Linked DNA regions of Sus scrofa. The protein of the gene in region 2 purifies or fractionates together with the protein of the main gene of each other region. This does not show direct contact. Links are inferred from orthologs where the notes say so. Each region holds a gene or a part of one and is shown on either strand. Other genes may lie near its edges.

Region 1 (3,989 bases), on a different chromosome or scaffold from region 2:
AACTTCTCTCTGCCTCATTAGGCTGTAATGAAGTTGAATGTGTCAGAACAATGCCTGGTGCATGGTAAGCACTGGAAACTATTATTTTTAACTAATGCAGCAAGAATAAATACTTGTCATTCGGGAATCTGTTTGCTGATAATGATGAAGTCCCCATCTCATTCTTGACAAATGACTGCAATTACCGTGTATGCCTCGGAATGCCAATCATGTCTTGAAGGTTTCATGATAGCTGCAAAATAACCGAAGACCTTTTTTTGGATAAGAAAACAGAGATTCAGAATAGACAAAGAATTTATTAGGGCAGGATTAGCAGAGTCCTCAGGAACTTTGGGTTCATGTCAAACATGTTAGCAACTTCCTGTTTGCCAGTTTAAAAGCAAAGCCAATAGCGCCTCATCAGTGTTTCTCAAAGTGGTCCACGAAACGCTGGCCTCAGACTCTCCGGTGGATACGTGTTTAAAAAGTTTTCTAGAACTCTCCCAGGCCCTACGAATTCTTTGAGGGATTAACCAGTATCTCAGGTGCTTCTTACATAACTAACTTGGAGATGCACAGCACAGTCAGTAATGCAAGGAGAAAGGATCCTCCCAGAATGGAGCTGGACCAAACCCAGGGCGCCTTTTTTGGAGGGGCTGTCCCGTGACCTGAGATGCTACCCTGGATGCTCCGCTTGTCCATCCAGCATCTCCCAGTAACGGGGCCCTTGAGAGCCAGAAACCCTGCTCTGCCGTCACTCTACGGCTGTGACGGGCGCTCTGGAGGTCCTCAGCTGTTCTCCCCCACAGCAGGGAAAGAGACGGAAGGGTGGCACGCTCGTGGCTGTGGAACTCAGACCCGGGCCTGCTCCACCTTAAAGGGCCTCGGCCTGCCTGAGTGCTTGGGTCTTGCAGAGTTTGGGCACCACCATATTTGGAGCGTGCCTACTTTGGGGCGGGGACCTCCTTGAGAGCGATGAGGTCAGCGCAGGGGGAGGTGACCTTGTTGGGCTCCTGGCACCCGAGAACAGTGGTGCACTGTTGCCGCCGCCCCCGTCGGTGCCCGCGGCCCAGGCGCCGCGGCCGCGCGAAGCCGCCCGCGAGCTCGTCGCCGGCCGTCCCCGGGCCCGCGGCTCGGGGCGAGGCGGGAAAGCGGCGCGCGTGCGCCGTGGGCCCCGGGCCGGCGGCAGAAGCGGGGCGCGCAGGGGGGCCGTCGGAGCCGCCGAGCGTACAGAGCGGCGCGTGACGCGGGGACGCCGCGCGCTCCCAACGTCGCCCCGGTTTGACGCACACGGCACCAAACTGTGAGTTTCGGGGCTCCTTCGGTCGGGCTCGCCGGGCCCCGCGTGGGCTCCGGGCGCGCGGGCCGCGGCGGCGGCGGGCCTGGGGGGCGGCAGGACGCGGGGGCGCCGGGCCGCGGCGCGCGGGCCCGGGCAGCGCCGCCCCGGGCCGGTCCCCAGCCTCCGCAGGACGCGTCTTGCCGCACAGGCTAAGATGGCGGCGGCGGCCGAGGAGGCGGAGTTGGTGCCGCACAAGGAGCCCGGGCCCCGGGTTCGGGGAGGCGGCGGCCGCGGCGGCCGCGGGGGGCGGCGGAGCCCGAGGTGAGCGGCGGCCGCCGCCGCGGGGCGGGCCTCGCCGGGGCCGGGGGGCGGGGGAGGCTCCTCGGCGGCGGCGGCGGCGGCGGACCTGGGAGCGGACACAAAGGGGCTGAGCCGGGCACGGGGCTCGGGGGTTTTGTTTAGTCACATGCAGCCGAGCAGCCAGTGAGCGGCGGGGGGAAGGGGCCGAGGCCGGGCGGCCCGGGGCGCCGGGCGGGCGCCATTGCGATGTCCGAGCCGCGGGGCGGCCCGGCGCTGGCCGGCGGCGCAGGCTCCGGCGAGGAGGGTCCACACCCCGCCCCTACCGGGGGCTCGGGGCCGCGGGGCGCTCCCGCCCCCTGCCCCGCGAGCTCCTCAGCCGCCCGGTGCCCGGGCAGTAGGCGCAAGAGGTAAATCGCTCGAAGCGTTTGGGTGGCCAGGGGCTCGGTGGGTGTCCAGCTAAAGCTTTTTGCTTCTCCAGGTCTGATTCCCTGGCCTTTGGGTCCCTGGGAGCTTAATCTCTGCCAGAGGAAAGCAGGTGTGCTCCACTTCTCCCGTGAACCTGAAGATGAGTTGCCCCAGACCCTTCTCAGTGATTGGAAACTTAGGTGGTGGAGCTAACGGTTTCTTGTTACGAGACTTCCACAGACGACTCTCGTGGTGGGATCCATCCATGGTTTAGCGACATTAGTGGAAAACTTTTTTTTTGGAACTGTTTTAAGTATCGTTGATGCACGCTTAGTTGTTATCAAACTTGTAAATTCAGATTTTCGTGTGGTCATTTAAGAAGTCCTCAACGAGAAGGTCAACGCAGTTGGCGGGCCTGAATGATGGGCCTGTGCTGTATACACGTTAATAATTTCAACAGAAATAACCCAAACACCGTCATCGATCCGGGCCAGTCCTAACTAATGCCAGGCTCGTTGCATCCGGATGATAGATTAGATTTGTGCTAATGGTTTTATTGCTTCTCCGCAGTAGTGTAGTTACAATTTTTTTTTTTTTTTTTTTTGGTCCCACAAGAAAAAGAGTTTTTCCAAAAATAGACAACTCAAATTACTCAAAGAAAGGAAACCTGCTGTTTGCCTTCAGTGCCATGTGTAAGTATCCAGGGAACATGAGGGCAGCCATATTGCATGGATAGGTTTGGTAACAAACAATTAGTTTATATAAAGAAGTTGCAACTTAGACTTTTTAATAGGTGAAACATGAAGACTTGACCACTGTTACTTCAGTGGTATACATATATATATATATATATATTTTGCTGGTAAAATCATGGTAGTGTAAGTTTTAGAATTTCTAACAAAGTTACACTGCGCTCACATCTACATCATACTTTGTATATTTGTAATATTAGAAGTATAAGAATTGCAAACAACTATCGTTTTGTTTTGGCCAGGTCACAGTAACAAGTTAAATTATTTGCTTGAAGGAATATTAACTCCTTTTTTTTTTTTTTGGCCACACCCATGGTATGTGGAAATGCCCCGGCCAGGAATCGAACCTGTGCCACTGCTGCAGCAGCGAGGAATCCTTAAGCTGCTGCATCTCAGGGGAACTTCCAAGGAAGGGATGTTTAAACACATCAGTGTTACTAACTTTAGATCTGGGTTCCAATTGAAATTTGAACTTTTCTGCATTCCTTAAAACTTTGGTTTTCCTTGTTTCCCCCCGCCAGATTTATGTTCCCCCACCTTTCCGCTTTTCTCCTAAGAGAACAATCTTGTATCAACAAATAGATGATATATTAATATCAGCAAAATTATTATTGAATCATTTAGCTTTAGCGTAGAGGGACTCTTAGAGAACAGCTAGTCGTGTCTTCTCTTTTACAATATATTTAGGGCCAGGAATGATTAATGTTATAGTGGAAAATTGTCTCTCAACTTACACCCCAGTGGTCTTTTCATTGGTCACATTGCTGGGATAAGGAGGTGACCACCTGCAACTGGTTATAAAACAAAAACAAAGGCATGTGTTTGAGAATACTTGTTAATTCGATACTGTTACATTAATGGTAAATTCTGTGAAAACAATTAAAAACTTACATTTACCTTGATATGGTGACTTAGTTTTTAAAGTGATTTCCGGGGAAACAAATGCAGATACAAAATGCAGACATTTCAGGTAATTTCAAAGCGATGTTGCTTTTGAATTTTGAGGTTTTCAGAAAACAATCTTGACGCAGTAATTTGAAAAAACAGGTAGTTTGATAAGCTTCTTGGCATGTTTGAGGTAATTGCCATTACTTCCAATTATTACGTAAGAAATGAGATAGATGCTGAAAAGAATGATGCTAGCGCCTTTCATTTTGTAATAGCATTTTAGTTGGTTAATGGACATGCCTCTTTGCCCCCTGTTCAAGGCGGCTCATTAGGACTGACTAGTACTGTTGCTGAGGGTAGATCTGTAAGGTCTAGTAGGAAATTCA
Region 2 (3,961 bases):
CCACCGGCCTACGCCAGAGCCACAGCATCGTGGGATCCCGAGCCGCGTCTGTGACCTACACCCCAGCTCACGGCAACGCCGGATCATTAACCCACTGAGCAAGGGCAGGGACCGAACCCGCAACCTCATGGTTCCTAGTCGGATTCGTTAACCACTGCGCCACGACGGGAACTCCCTTTTTTTTTTTTTTTTTTTTTTTTTTTTTTCGTTTAACTTTTCTTATTGATCTGTGCTGTCACCTAGCCTCTATAGAGTGACCTGAACCAGCAAGTGAAGGATGGGATAGGTGGCTCTCTAGGATGGCAGAGTGGAATTAAAAACAATAGTAGATGATCCAAGGCACAATATGCCAACAAACATCAGAAAGTGGTGATACAACAAAAATAAGTGAGGTGTCTTTTTCCACAAAGAGTGATTATCAGTTCAAACTGTACCATCATCTATTTCAGTAGTGATTGTCATTCTAGATTAAACTACACCGCAGAAATTTGATTATGTGGTCATCTGGTTCTTTCTTATCAATACCCCAGGGAAGGGTATTAACTAGCAGTCTTAAAATATGGAAAGCTTTCCAGTGGGACACATCATTTAGTTAATTGTTTTATAAATACTCAAGAAGGGTCACACTTTAAGGAAAAGCAGAGTGTTTCAACTCAATATCTGAAACAAAGTAGGTTTCTAGGGGAAAAATGATAACCTTTTACCAAACTTGTGCTTCAGAGGACCAAGTGCACAAATGTTAATGAGTGTAGTTGTGTAAGTTGCTCTTTGATACCTCGCTAGTTTTTTAACACCTTGCACTCCTCACAGTCTGTAGGAAATTTGTATTTAACTTATTAATTTGAATCAAAGCAGCTATCACTTCATTACTTCTTTTGAAGCTGCTCTTGAAAAGGAAGAGCTTATTAGCTTATAGAAGAAAGCTGACTTCTCAAATCAGTGTTTTGATCTACAGTGAAATCTGACTACAGTCTTCTTCGATCAGAGGGGAAAAAAGTTTTGAGATTTTCGAAGAAGTGCCTTTTTTTCTATGGAAATTTTTCCGTAATGGGGAGGATCAAAGGTGTGTATCCTATTGCCTAATTGCACTCCAACACTCTGGGCCTTAAATTTTACTATACAGTCAATCTGAAGCCTTCAGCAGCTTAACGATTTGCAGAGTGAAAGTGATTGCACCTAGCTTATTCTTGTCCTTCATAACCATGAATTGTCCATCTTGAAGCCCTGGGTCTTGAGTTTGTCTAAAACCAAAAAACAATGTGACTCTGGTCTTTTCTTAAAACACTGAGGAAGAACTTAGAATGGAGTTTCTATTTCTACAATGGGGATGCCAAAGCAAGTGTTTAGTTTAAAACAGCTTCCTCTTTTGAGTTTATATTCCATAAATTCATTTTGCATTTTGCAAAAGGAAAAAAAAAACTATATTCTAATCTGTGCATTACAGAGTTTCAGTTCTAAAACCAGCATGGTGTCTCTTAAAAAGAAAAGATTCTTCGGGGGGGAGCCTAGAACCTGTTATTACCTATCTGAAGTAACATTCTCCTTCCACTTTTTCTCTTTTCTTTAGGACTATCGGACAAAACCTTTTTGCTGCAGCGCTTGCCCATTTTCTTCAAAATTTTTCTCTGCCTACAAAAGTCATTTCCGGAATGTCCATAGTGAAGACTTTGAAAATAGGATTCTCCTTAATTGCCCCTACTGTACCTTCAATGCAGACAAAAAGACTTTGGAAACACACATTAAAATATTTCATGCTCCAAACGCCAGCGCACCAAGTAGCAGCCTCAGCACTTTCAAAGATAAAAGCAAAAACGATGGCCTTAAACCTAAGCAGGCTGACAGTGTAGAGCAAGCTGTTTATTACTGTAAGAAGTGCACTTACCGAGATCCTCTTTATGAAATAGTTAGGAAGCACATTTACAGGGAACATTTTCAGCATGTGGCAGCACCTTACATAGCAAAGGCAGGTGAAAAATCACTCAATGGTGCAGTCCCCTTAGGCTCAAACGCCCGGGAAGAAAGTAGTATTCACTGCAAGCGATGCCTTTTCATGCCAAAGTCCTACGAAGCTTTGGTACAGCATGTCATTGAAGACCATGAACGCATAGGCTATCAGGTCACTGCCATGATTGGGCACACAAATGTGGTGGTCCCCCGATCCAAACCTTTGATGCTGATTGCTCCCAAACCTCAAGAGAAGAAGGGCCTGGGACTCCAATCAAGAATTGGTTCCCTCGCTTCTGGAAACGTCCGATCTTTGCCATCCCAGCAGATGGTGAATAGACTCTCAATACCAAAGCCTAACTTAAATTCCACAGGAGTCAACATGATGTCCAATGTTCATCTCCAGCAGAACAACTATGGAGTCAAATCAGTGGGCCAGGGCTATGGCGTTGGTCAGTCAATGAGACTGGGTCTGGGTGGCAATGCACCCGTTTCCATCCCTCAGCAGTCTCAGTCAGTGAAGCAGTTACTTCCAAGTGGAAATGGAAGATCTTATGGGCTTGGGTCAGAGCAGAGGACCCAGGCACCAGCAAGATACTCACTGCAGTCTGCAAACGCCTCTTCTCTCTCATCAGGCCCCTTAAAGTCTCCTGCCCTCGCCCAGTCACAGGCATCCAGAGTATTAGGTCAGTCCAGTTCCAAACCTACCGCAGCTGCCACTGGCCCTCCCCCGCCCAATACGTCCTCAACTCAGAAGTGGAAGATATGTACAATCTGCAATGAGCTTTTTCCTGAGAATGTCTATAGTGTGCACTTCGAGAAAGAACATAAAGCTGAGAAAGTCCCAGCAGTAGCCAACTACATTATGAAAATACACAATTTCACTAGCAAATGCCTCTATTGCAATCGCTATTTGCCCACAGATACTCTGCTCAACCATATGTTAATTCATGGTCTGTCTTGTCCATATTGCCGTTCAACTTTCAATGACGTGGAAAAGATGGCGGCACACATGCGGATGGTTCACATTGACGAAGAGATGGGACCCAAAACAGATTCCACGCTGAGTTTTGATTTGACATTGCAGCAGGGTAGTCACACTAACATCCATCTCCTGGTAACCACATACAACCTGAGAGATGCCCCCGCCGAGTCTGTTGCTTACCATGCCCAAAACAACCCTCCAGTCCCTCCAAAGCCACAGCCAAAAGTTCAGGAAAAGGCAGATATCCCTGTTAAAAGTTCACCTCAAGCTGCAGTGCCCTATAAAAAAGATGTCGGGAAAACCCTTTGCCCTCTTTGCTTTTCAATCCTCAAAGGACCCATATCCGATGCACTTGCACATCACTTACGAGAAAGACACCAAGTGATTCAGACCGTTCACCCGGTGGAGAAGAAGCTCACCTACAAATGCATCCACTGCCTTGGTGTGTATACCAGCAACATGACCGCCTCGACTATCACTCTGCATCTAGTCCACTGCAGGGGTGTTGGAAAGACCCAGAATGGCCAAGACAAGACAAATGCACCCTCTCGGCTCAACCAGTCACCAGGCCTGGCACCTGTGAAGCGCACTTATGAGCAGATGGAATTTCCCTTGGTAAAAAAGCGAAAATTAGATGATGATAGCGATTCACCCAGCTTCTTTGAGGAGAAGCCTGAGGAACCTGTTGTTTTAGCTTTAGACCCCAAGGGTCATGAAGATGATTCCTATGAAGCCAGGAAAAGCTTCCTAACAAAATATTTCAACAAACAGCCCTATCCCACCAGGAGAGAAATTGAGAAGCTGGCAGCCAGTTTGTGGTTGTGGAAGAGTGACATTGCTTCCCATTTTAGTAACAAGAGAAAGAAGTGTGTCCGAGACTGTGAGAAGTATAAGCCTGGTGTGCTGCTGGGCTTCAACATGAAAGAATTAAACAAAGTTAAGCATGAGATGGATTTTGATGCTGAGTGGCTATTTGAAAATCATGATGAAAAGGATTCCAGAGTCAATGCTAGTAAAACTGCTGACAAAAAA
Region 3 (4,136 bases), on a different chromosome or scaffold from region 2:
ACCGCTCACGGCAACGCCGGATCCTTAACCCACTGAGCGGGGCCAGGGATTGAACCTCATGGGGACTAGTGGGGTCTGTTAACCACTGAGCCACTACGGAAACTCTTCTGCTATATTTTAATAAAATTTATCTTTAAATGTGCAACAAGAAAATAAAGTGGCAAGATGCCCAACATTTGTGGAGTATGCAGGGATCCAAGAGGTGGGAAACTCAGCGACTGGACCGGTGTTAACTTTTTGGTTTCCCCAGAAGTTCACCTTTGGACCCAGCTTTGCTTCCGTGAGTCCCTCCAGCTTCCCTAAAGCTGGGCTAGGTGGGGGTCCAGGCGAGGCGGGCGTCAAAGTTGGTTTCTTCTCTTTTTGTTCTTTCATCAGCACTTCCAGAAGAAAAGACGAGACTCCGAGGCCTTTTACGAGCCTCATTTCGTCTCACAGTCCATACAGCGGCAATCTGCAGATTCTCCTCAGAGCCTCCTCCTCCTCACAACGCCCGTCCTCAGGCCCTGGAGCTTCTGGACAAAGCCCGGCCTCCCGGCCATCATCGCCTCCGCCTCGGGGACCTCCTCCAGAAAAGACGTCGTAGAACCACCTAGATTCTACCTACTTGGTTGGCCAATAGTTCTGTAGTGGAAAGCAAACCAGCAACAATAACAATAATAATAAAACACATTTGTACAGCTCGTGGTGCTCATTTGTATCCCGTGTTAGGACTTCGCAATTGGGCGAAGTAGGCACCTGTCGGTAGAAGTAGCAGCTGGACAGCGAAAAGGAGAGCGGGCCCATAGAAGGGAATGGCAGGTACAGTCGATTAAGCCAGGGAAACTGGTACCTGGCAGGTAGGAAATCGGCGCCAGAGGGCTTGTCAATAGCGCCGCGGATGGAAAAGGTTTTATTTTCCTCTCAAGAGGCTCCCCCCATTCCGTGCATCCCTGTGCAGCCTCGGAGGGCTCAATTCCTTTGCTGCTCTGTTCCGTACCCCCCCCCCCCCCCTTGGGAAGGTGGCTCTGTCCTCCCCGCACGCGACGCGCTGGCGGTTGGCCGGCTGCGGGAAGCTTCTGATTGGCCGAGTCGCAGAAGCACCGGGTGAAAAGAGCTTCACTGGCGGCGCGCCCCCACTCGGGGCGTAGCCAACGCCGTACGGGAAAATGGCGGCCCGCATGTACCTTGAGAGGCCCCGAATGGGGGATGGAGGGGCGCAAATCCGCCCCCTGCAGGTCAGGGAGAAAGGCGCCTCAGACTATGTGGGCGGCACTGGAGGTGCTCGAGGAGGCGGGCCTACTGTCACTTCCGGCCACTGGGGAGACTGGGATCCGTACGGCAACATGGCCGCACCCAGGAGCCTGTAGGCGGAAACTCCGCCGCTTCCGGTCCGGAGTAGGGCCTGCGGTGGGAGGGGGAAGGAAGGCGGAGGGAACCATGCGAGGTTCTGAGATCCGCGGCGAGTGTCGCCTCGAGAGACCGTTTCTGAGGTGGGGCCGGGCGGTGCGGGGGGCGAAGGCGGGGCGGGAATGTCGAGGTCGAGGTACTCGGGAGTCCTGGGCGTTGAGTCTGAGGGGCAGGCTGAGGTACCTTCCTTACTATCCCTGAAGGGGTGTGGGGGGGCCGGGGGCTGAACTGGGGGAGGGGGACTTGGCGGGAAGCTCCTCCGGGGGCAGGGCCGGCCTCAGGACTAGAGTGTGAGAGCAAGCAGGAGAGACCAGTGTGGGGCCCACGGTCGCTTACAGGTCACACGGAGAGAATGGGGAGGCTCGGGTTGGTGTGAGAGAGAGGGGACTGGAGCCGAGCTATCTCCGACTGCCGCCCCGGCTGGAGGAGACCCACCGGAGGGCGGGGTAGGGAGGTGGTCTTGGCAGGAGAAAGGGGAGTGGATGTGGGGAGGACCAACCCTCGCCTCGGAGAGGCTGGGAGTTGGGGTGATCCTACAGGACGGGGCGAACCTGTGGGAGAGCGGAAGGGGGACACGGGGAGGTGGTGCCAACGAGGGTGTGGTATCTGTTCCAGGGGGTGTCGAGGAAATCTGGAGTGCAGTGTGAGAGGTGGTCCGGGGTTGAGAAGAATCAACTTGCCACCTATGAGAAATAGTGGGGAAATGCAACCGAAAGACCGGATGTCGACGTGAGGGGTGGAGCTGGGGGTGGGACTTCAGGTTTTCCGAGGGTTTGGGGCTCTCGTAGTAAAGGGACAGAAAAACACGGTACTAATGGTTGCTGAAGACAGGCAGTGAGGACACTGTTGGGCATGGCTGGGTGTTTTTGAAAACCAAGAAGACAAAAATGTGTGAGATGAAGGGATGGGGCTCTGCTGGAGGGGCTCTTTCTGAGGCCCCGTCCCCTTCCAGCAGGAATCACGAAAACCCCACCACTTCCTCCCTCCGGGGGATTTGATCCCCCATGGCCACCGCTAACAGCATCATCGTGCTGGATGATGATGACGAAGATGAAGCAGCTGCTCAGCCAGGGCCCTCCCACCCACCCCCCAACCCAGCCTCACCCAGGGCAGCCCCCATTCCAGCCTCACCCAGGGCAGAAGCCCCTGGCTCCTCCCAGCCCCATGGGGCTGGAGGAGGCAGTAGTTCGGGCGGCAAGAAATGCTACAAGTTGGAGAATGAGAAGCTGTTTAAAGAGGTGAGCTTTAGGGGAGAGGATTCTTGTACTCCAGGGAGGGGGCTGGCCGACTGGCTCTCTTGTCTTGTCTTCCCCACTAACCCCACCTCGCCTTCTTTCTCTCAACCCATCCCTTGTCCCTTTCCCCGTGAACCTTCCAGTTCCTTGAACTGTGTAGGAGGCAGACAGCAGACCACCCTGAGGTGGTCCCGTTCCTCTCTAGCCGGCAGCAGCGGGCCCACTCACTGTTTTTGGCCTCGGCGGAGTTCCACAACATCCTCTCTCGGGTCCTTTCCCGGGCTCAGAGCCGGCCCGCCAAGCTCTATGTCTACATTAACGAGCTCTGCACTGTTCTCAAGGCCAACTCGGCCAAGAAGAAGATGAACCTGGCCCCTGCTGCCACCACCTCTAGTGAGCCCTCCGGGAATGACCCCCCCACAGGCCCCTCCTCGGACCCCATAAATGCTGAGACCACTGCCTCTGAGGCCCCAAGGACCCGTGGTTCCCGGCGGCAGATCCAGCGCTTGGAGCAGCTTCTTGCGCTCTATGTGGCAGAGATCCGGCGGCTGCAGGAAAAGGAGCTGGATCTCTCAGAACTGGACGACCCGGACTCCACTTACCTGCAGGAGGCCAGACTGAAGCGTAAGCTGATCCGCCTCTTTGGGCGGCTGTGTGAGCTCAAAGAATGCTCTTCTCTGACGGGCCGGGTCATAGAGCAGCGCATCCCCTACCGGGGCACCCGCTACCCGGAGGTGAACAGGCGCATCGAGCGGCTCATCAACAAGCCAGGGCCTGATACCTTCCCTGACTATGGAGACGTACTTCGGGCTGTCGAGAAGGCAGCTGCTCGGCACAGCCTTGGCCTCCCCCGACAGCAGCTCCAGCTCATGGCTCAGGATGCCTTCCGAGATGTGGGCATCAGGTTGCAGGAACGTCGCCACCTCGATCTCATCTACAACTTCGGCTGTCACCTCACAGACGACTACAGGCCAGGTAGGCCTTAGCAGGGTCTCCCCAGTCCCTTGGTGTGTTGGCCTATGCTGGAGGAAGCTCTCTGGAGTCCCTCCTTCTAGGATTCTGGGTGAGTGCTCTGACCTATGTCTTCCCATGCAGGTGTCGATCCTGCCCTGTCAGATCCTGTCCTAGCCCGGCGCCTGCGGGAGAACCGGAGCTTGGCTATGAGCCGACTGGATGAGGTCATCTCCAAATATGCAATGATGCAAGACAAGAGTGAGGAGGGCGAGAGACAGAAGAGAAGGGCTCGGCTCCCCCAGGCCACCTCTGCCCACTCTGCAGAACCCCCCAAAGCCTCCTTGGATTCTGGCGAGGTATGGAAGGGCCACACCCTTGAGAGAGACCCTGTCCTTCCCCTGCACTGGCCAGGAGGGAGTCCTTGGGACTGATGGCGGAGTGTGCAGAAGGGATGCAAGAACCAGTCCCTCAAGGGGGCAAGGGATTCCTTAGAGAAACTCCTTTGTCCCCCGAAGGGCCCTAGTGGGATGGCCTCCCAGGAGTGCTCGACCACTTCCAAGG
Region 4 (4,077 bases), on a different chromosome or scaffold from region 2:
TCATCGGTTGTTTCAAAGCTCAAACCTCCGATGAAGAGCTTCCGCAGCTGTTCGGGCTCTTTGGGAGACTAGAAGTAGGGGCAAAAAAAGCGTTAAATAGGGCTATAACGCAAACAAGCTCCCCGCTACAAGAAGCAACACCAGGTAGCAACGTACGAAGCTTTTATTGTTCCCTCGGGTCGCTGTAAGCCACGTGCTTCTCCCCATCTGGGGAGGCGGTATGTTGGGGGCTGGGAAGCGGCGAGCGCATGCGCCCCTTACTCTCCCTACGACGCACGCGCAACAAAAGGACTGGGAGGGCGTGCATCGCCAAAATTGGACTACAGCTACTCTTTAAGAAAGTCGTCCACTAGGACAAGGATGAAAAACAGACCGAATGTGTCCACGAGCATTGCAAAAAAGAACGAGAGCAGCGTGATAACCAAGGATTGCACGACGACAGCCTCATGGCGACGAGGACAAAATGGCGACCTGAACTCAGGGAGGGGTAGGCCCCGGCAGCGACCGAAGAACTGCCGAAAAGGCTGGTGCAAGCAGCCAAACCAGACTGCACCCTACCAAACTCAGCAAGCGGCGAAGAAGAAAACGCAGATGAAAAAAGAGTCTCACTCACCTCTGACTTAGACATGACGGTAGTGGGGAGGAGGTTACAACGATGCTTACTCGGCGGCGTCCGGGGGCAGAAAGGAGTAATCTAACGAACGAGTCTGCCAGCCTACCTTCGGCCTCGCTTTTTTATCCCGCCTCCTCGCGTTCGGCATTGGTAGACTCCGCCCCTGAGTAGCTCTGATTGGATATTTGACATAGCTTTCCCCCACTATTGGTCTCTCGTATGCGTTGCTGTGTAACGTCATCCGTTTGGGCGTTCTACGCAGTCTCAACCCCTCCCGGTCCATTGGTTCCTAAGTAATATTATTCTTAACTAGACTGATTGGCTGGTCAACCAATGATTCATATTTGAATTATTTCGGGTATTGAGATAACTTTTTAATTAGCTATGTCCGGAATATTCAACGCCTGTGTCAAAGCATTTTTAATACTATGTATCAAAAAAGTAGCTAGCATGTGACAATTTGGCGGAACGGGGGCGGGGGCAAGATCGCCTGCTGAGCGCATGTGTAGTAAAATGGCGAGTTTACGCAGGCGCGCTAAGAAGTTCCGCCCGGAGCTTGCAACACGTGAAATGGCGGGCAGGAGACAGCGGCGAACCTAAGGCGCCTGCGTAGTGGCGGGAGTTGTGCCCCCTTTTGCGCAGGCGTAATGGGCGGGGAAAGGGTCGGGTCCCAGGATTGGTCGCGCAGGCGCAGGGAAGGATCCGTTTTGGCGGGCGGTTGGCGTTGCGCAGAAGGCGGCGGCGGCGGTGGCTTGTGGTCCGGCCGCACCACAGAGGAACAGGCGAGGCGTTAGCGTGAGTGATCGGTCTCGACCCCCGGTAAGTGGCGGACCATCTTGCCTACCCATACGAGGTCTTGAACTGACTCCAACTGGGCCCGTTATTGTGTGAAATGAATGGACCTCGGGGTGGGGGCTCGTGAAGGGGGAGCGGTGAGATCGGCCAACCAATGGAAGAACGGGGGCGGGATGTTTTATCCCCGTAGGTTCTGTGGAGCTTTGCAGCGGAAGAGTTTGACTGGCGAGTGTATAGGCCAATTGGGGCTGTCCTTAGCTGCCGACTCATCGGTCCTTGGGCCATCGGTATGTGGGAGGCGGGCTTTCTCCTCCTGAGCAGCATCTCACTGAGCCAATGAGCACGAAGCGCGCGGTAGGTTGGGCTCCTCCAAGAGGCCACGATTTGACTCCAATGGGGGATGCGGGAGTTGGGCGGTTAGGTGGATGGACCAAATCGGGAGCCAGTAGGCGAGCAGCCTCTGGAAAGCGCTCAGGCTGTTCGTCCAATCAGCGCTCCAAAAGAGGGAGGTCTTAGATTTGGGGATGCGAGGAAGGGGATTCAATGCCTGTGATGGCGCGTAGGGGCTATTTTATTCACAATGACTTTAACAAAACCTGTGGGCCTCCGTGCCACACTTCTCTGGTAGGAAAGCTGTTAAGTTTGGTCCTGTATTCCTCGGTTTTGGCTCTTTCCCCCCCACAACGGTATATCTCACCATCCAGCACTTTAGGTTTTGGAGGGGAACAAGGGATGTCAAAGACATGACTGGAAAACTCGCTTCTTTAGGAAGACTGCCTTGAAATGTTAGAACAAATAGAATTTATTTGTACTGTTGTGGAATAGCACCCAAGAAGAGTCTACAAAATAACAGTAATGCATATTTCCACAGACAAAGAAATATTTGTGAACCCATAGGAAATGTTTCGGAAAACTGCATAGCAAAATATGTTAACCTCTAGGGATACAGTGGGTTGGAGACACATCGCATCTCCAGTGTTTACATTTTTGCAGGGATAATAATTTGTAATTAAAAATAAATTTAAAAGCTCGTTGTTTTTGTGTTTTCAGTTATAGTCAAGTACTTCTCACCACCTCCTTACACCTCAAAAAGGTGCTGTTTTTCAGTTAAGAACTAAAGCGATTCTTGGTTTAAACAAACAAATTTTAAAAAGATAATTTTTTTTTTTGAGTACTGATAGTCATGATGTTAAGTGCTTTACAAGCATTGTCCAATTCCTTTATCTTAGGCTCTGCTCTGAGGAACTTTCTCCTCCATATATATATATCTCTTTACATTGTTACAGATCTTCTTAGGCCTTCTTTCTGCTGTTCCTTTAAGGATATCTGGATTTGGATAAAAAGGAAGTTGCTTAAGGAGGGTGATACTTAGGGTGCTGGAGACGGAACCCATCCATCACCTGGGTTATTTTTTGCCTTTTGATTATAGAATTTCAAAGTATTTCCTGTGCAGTCCATATCCTGTTAGTAATGCTTGTTCTACTCATTCCACTATGTTTTAGTAAACCATAGAAATTTTCATTACGTTTTGACTGTATGAGAGTCTATACTGCCCCTCCCCCTTTTTTGGCCGCACCTGTGGCATAAGGAAGTTCCTGGGCTGGGGATCTAACGTGCACCACAGCAGTGATCCAGGCTGCTGCAGTGGTGATTCTGGATCCTTAACCTACTGCCTCATAAGAGAATTCCTATACTCCTCTGTTATTAACTGCCTTATTTAGTATCAAGGGACAGTTGTTTAAATACTGTAGTAAGTTCAAATACACATGAAGAAGTTCTGTTATGATTAGAGATCTTTGTAACACTGTGCAAAAGGATGATTTTTAGCTGAGCTTATCCTGAACAGATTTTCATGTTTTCTGATACTTGAAATGGAAAATCTGTTTCATATTTGCGTATAAACTATAGGTATGCTAATAGTGTAGCTACTTGGTTTATAAGAACTGAAGTGATATAGATTAAGAATTTCTGTCCCTAATTTATTTAAATTTGAAAGGAATACAATCTTGATCTGTAGGGTTTCTCAGCTTCAGTGCTATTTACATTTTGAGCCTAGTAAGTGCATTTCACCTCCCCATACCCCCACTTGTGACAATCAAAGTTTTCCCAATTGTCCTGGGAGGGAGGGGTGCAAAATCTCCACTTGGAAACCATTTATCTGGGAGTTCCTTTCACGGATCAGTGGTTAACGGGCCCAACTAGGATCCATGAGGATGCAGGTTCGATCCCTGGCTTCGAGCAGTGGGTTAGGGATCCAGTGTTGCAGTGAACTGTGGTGTAGGTTGAAGATTCTGCCTGAGTCCCATGTTGCTGTGGCTTTGGCATGGGCCAGAGGCTGTAGCTCTGATTCGTCCCCTAGTCTGGGAACTTCCATATGCCATGGGTGCAGCCCTAAAAAAAGGACAAAAGACCACAAGTAAATAAATAAATGAAAATAAAAAATGAGACATCGTAGAGTTGATTATCTTGTCAAAATATTTTGTTTTTTGCCAATTGGAAATCAGAGGGAGAAGATGAATGTTTAGGAAGTGTCCTTGGTAAAGTGGATCACTGAGTCCTTATGATTATCTGTTCAGATAGAGCATGATCATTGTTTCATTGGGTAAAAGAAAACTTTCATTAAGATTTTTACCATTTCTTGCAGTTTAAACATTGATTGCATCTTATGT

The links. Proteins that work in one complex are often made in the same cells at the same time.
Region 1: the proteins of ADNP (region 2) and ZNF644 purify together in Homo sapiens (affinity purification with mass spectrometry; 3 studies listed by BioGRID and IntAct, with this or other methods). This does not show direct contact. The link is inferred for Sus scrofa from reciprocal best matches to the Homo sapiens genes ADNP and ZNF644.
Region 3: the proteins of ADNP (region 2) and DAXX purify together in Homo sapiens (affinity purification with mass spectrometry; 4 studies listed by BioGRID and IntAct, with this or other methods). This does not show direct contact. The link is inferred for Sus scrofa from reciprocal best matches to the Homo sapiens genes ADNP and DAXX.
Region 4: the proteins of ADNP (region 2) and CBX5 purify together in Homo sapiens (affinity purification with mass spectrometry; 4 studies listed by BioGRID and IntAct, with this or other methods). This does not show direct contact. The link is inferred for Sus scrofa from reciprocal best matches to the Homo sapiens genes ADNP and CBX5.

Annotation. Positions count from the first base shown.
Region 1 is NC_010446.5:125,739,136-125,743,124, forward strand, and holds the start of ZNF644 (zinc finger protein 644), read left to right. Parts: upstream 1-1,189; 5' UTR 1,190-1,282; intron 1,283-1,409; exon of another isoform or gene 1,410-1,579; intron 1,580-1,883; exon of another isoform or gene 1,884-2,655; intron 2,656-3,989.
Region 2 is NC_010459.5:52,319,458-52,323,418, reverse strand, and holds part of ADNP (activity-dependent neuroprotector homeobox protein), read left to right. Parts: intron 1-1,567; coding exon 1,568-3,961.
Region 3 is NC_010449.5:29,678,346-29,682,481, reverse strand, and holds the start of DAXX (death domain-associated protein 6), read left to right. Parts: upstream 1-1,336; 5' UTR 1,337-1,469; intron 1,470-1,540; exon of another isoform or gene 1,541-1,565; intron 1,566-2,001; exon of another isoform or gene 2,002-2,338; 5' UTR 2,339-2,390; coding exon 2,391-2,624; intron 2,625-2,764; coding exon 2,765-3,596; intron 3,597-3,716; coding exon 3,717-3,931; intron 3,932-4,090; coding exon 4,091-4,136. UniProt on the Homo sapiens protein: Transcription corepressor known to repress transcriptional potential of several sumoylated transcription factors. Down-regulates basal and activated transcription.
Region 4 is NC_010447.5:19,481,728-19,485,804, reverse strand, and holds the start of CBX5 (chromobox protein homolog 5), read left to right. Parts: upstream 1-1,277; 5' UTR 1,278-1,432; intron 1,433-1,598; exon of another isoform or gene 1,599-1,762; intron 1,763-4,077. Other genes in the region: HNRNPA1 (heterogeneous nuclear ribonucleoprotein A1), read right to left, coding at 1-68, 614-628. UniProt on the Homo sapiens protein: Component of heterochromatin that recognizes and binds histone H3 tails methylated at 'Lys-9' (H3K9me), leading to epigenetic repression. In contrast, it is excluded from chromatin when 'Tyr-41' of histone H3 is phosphorylated (H3Y41ph).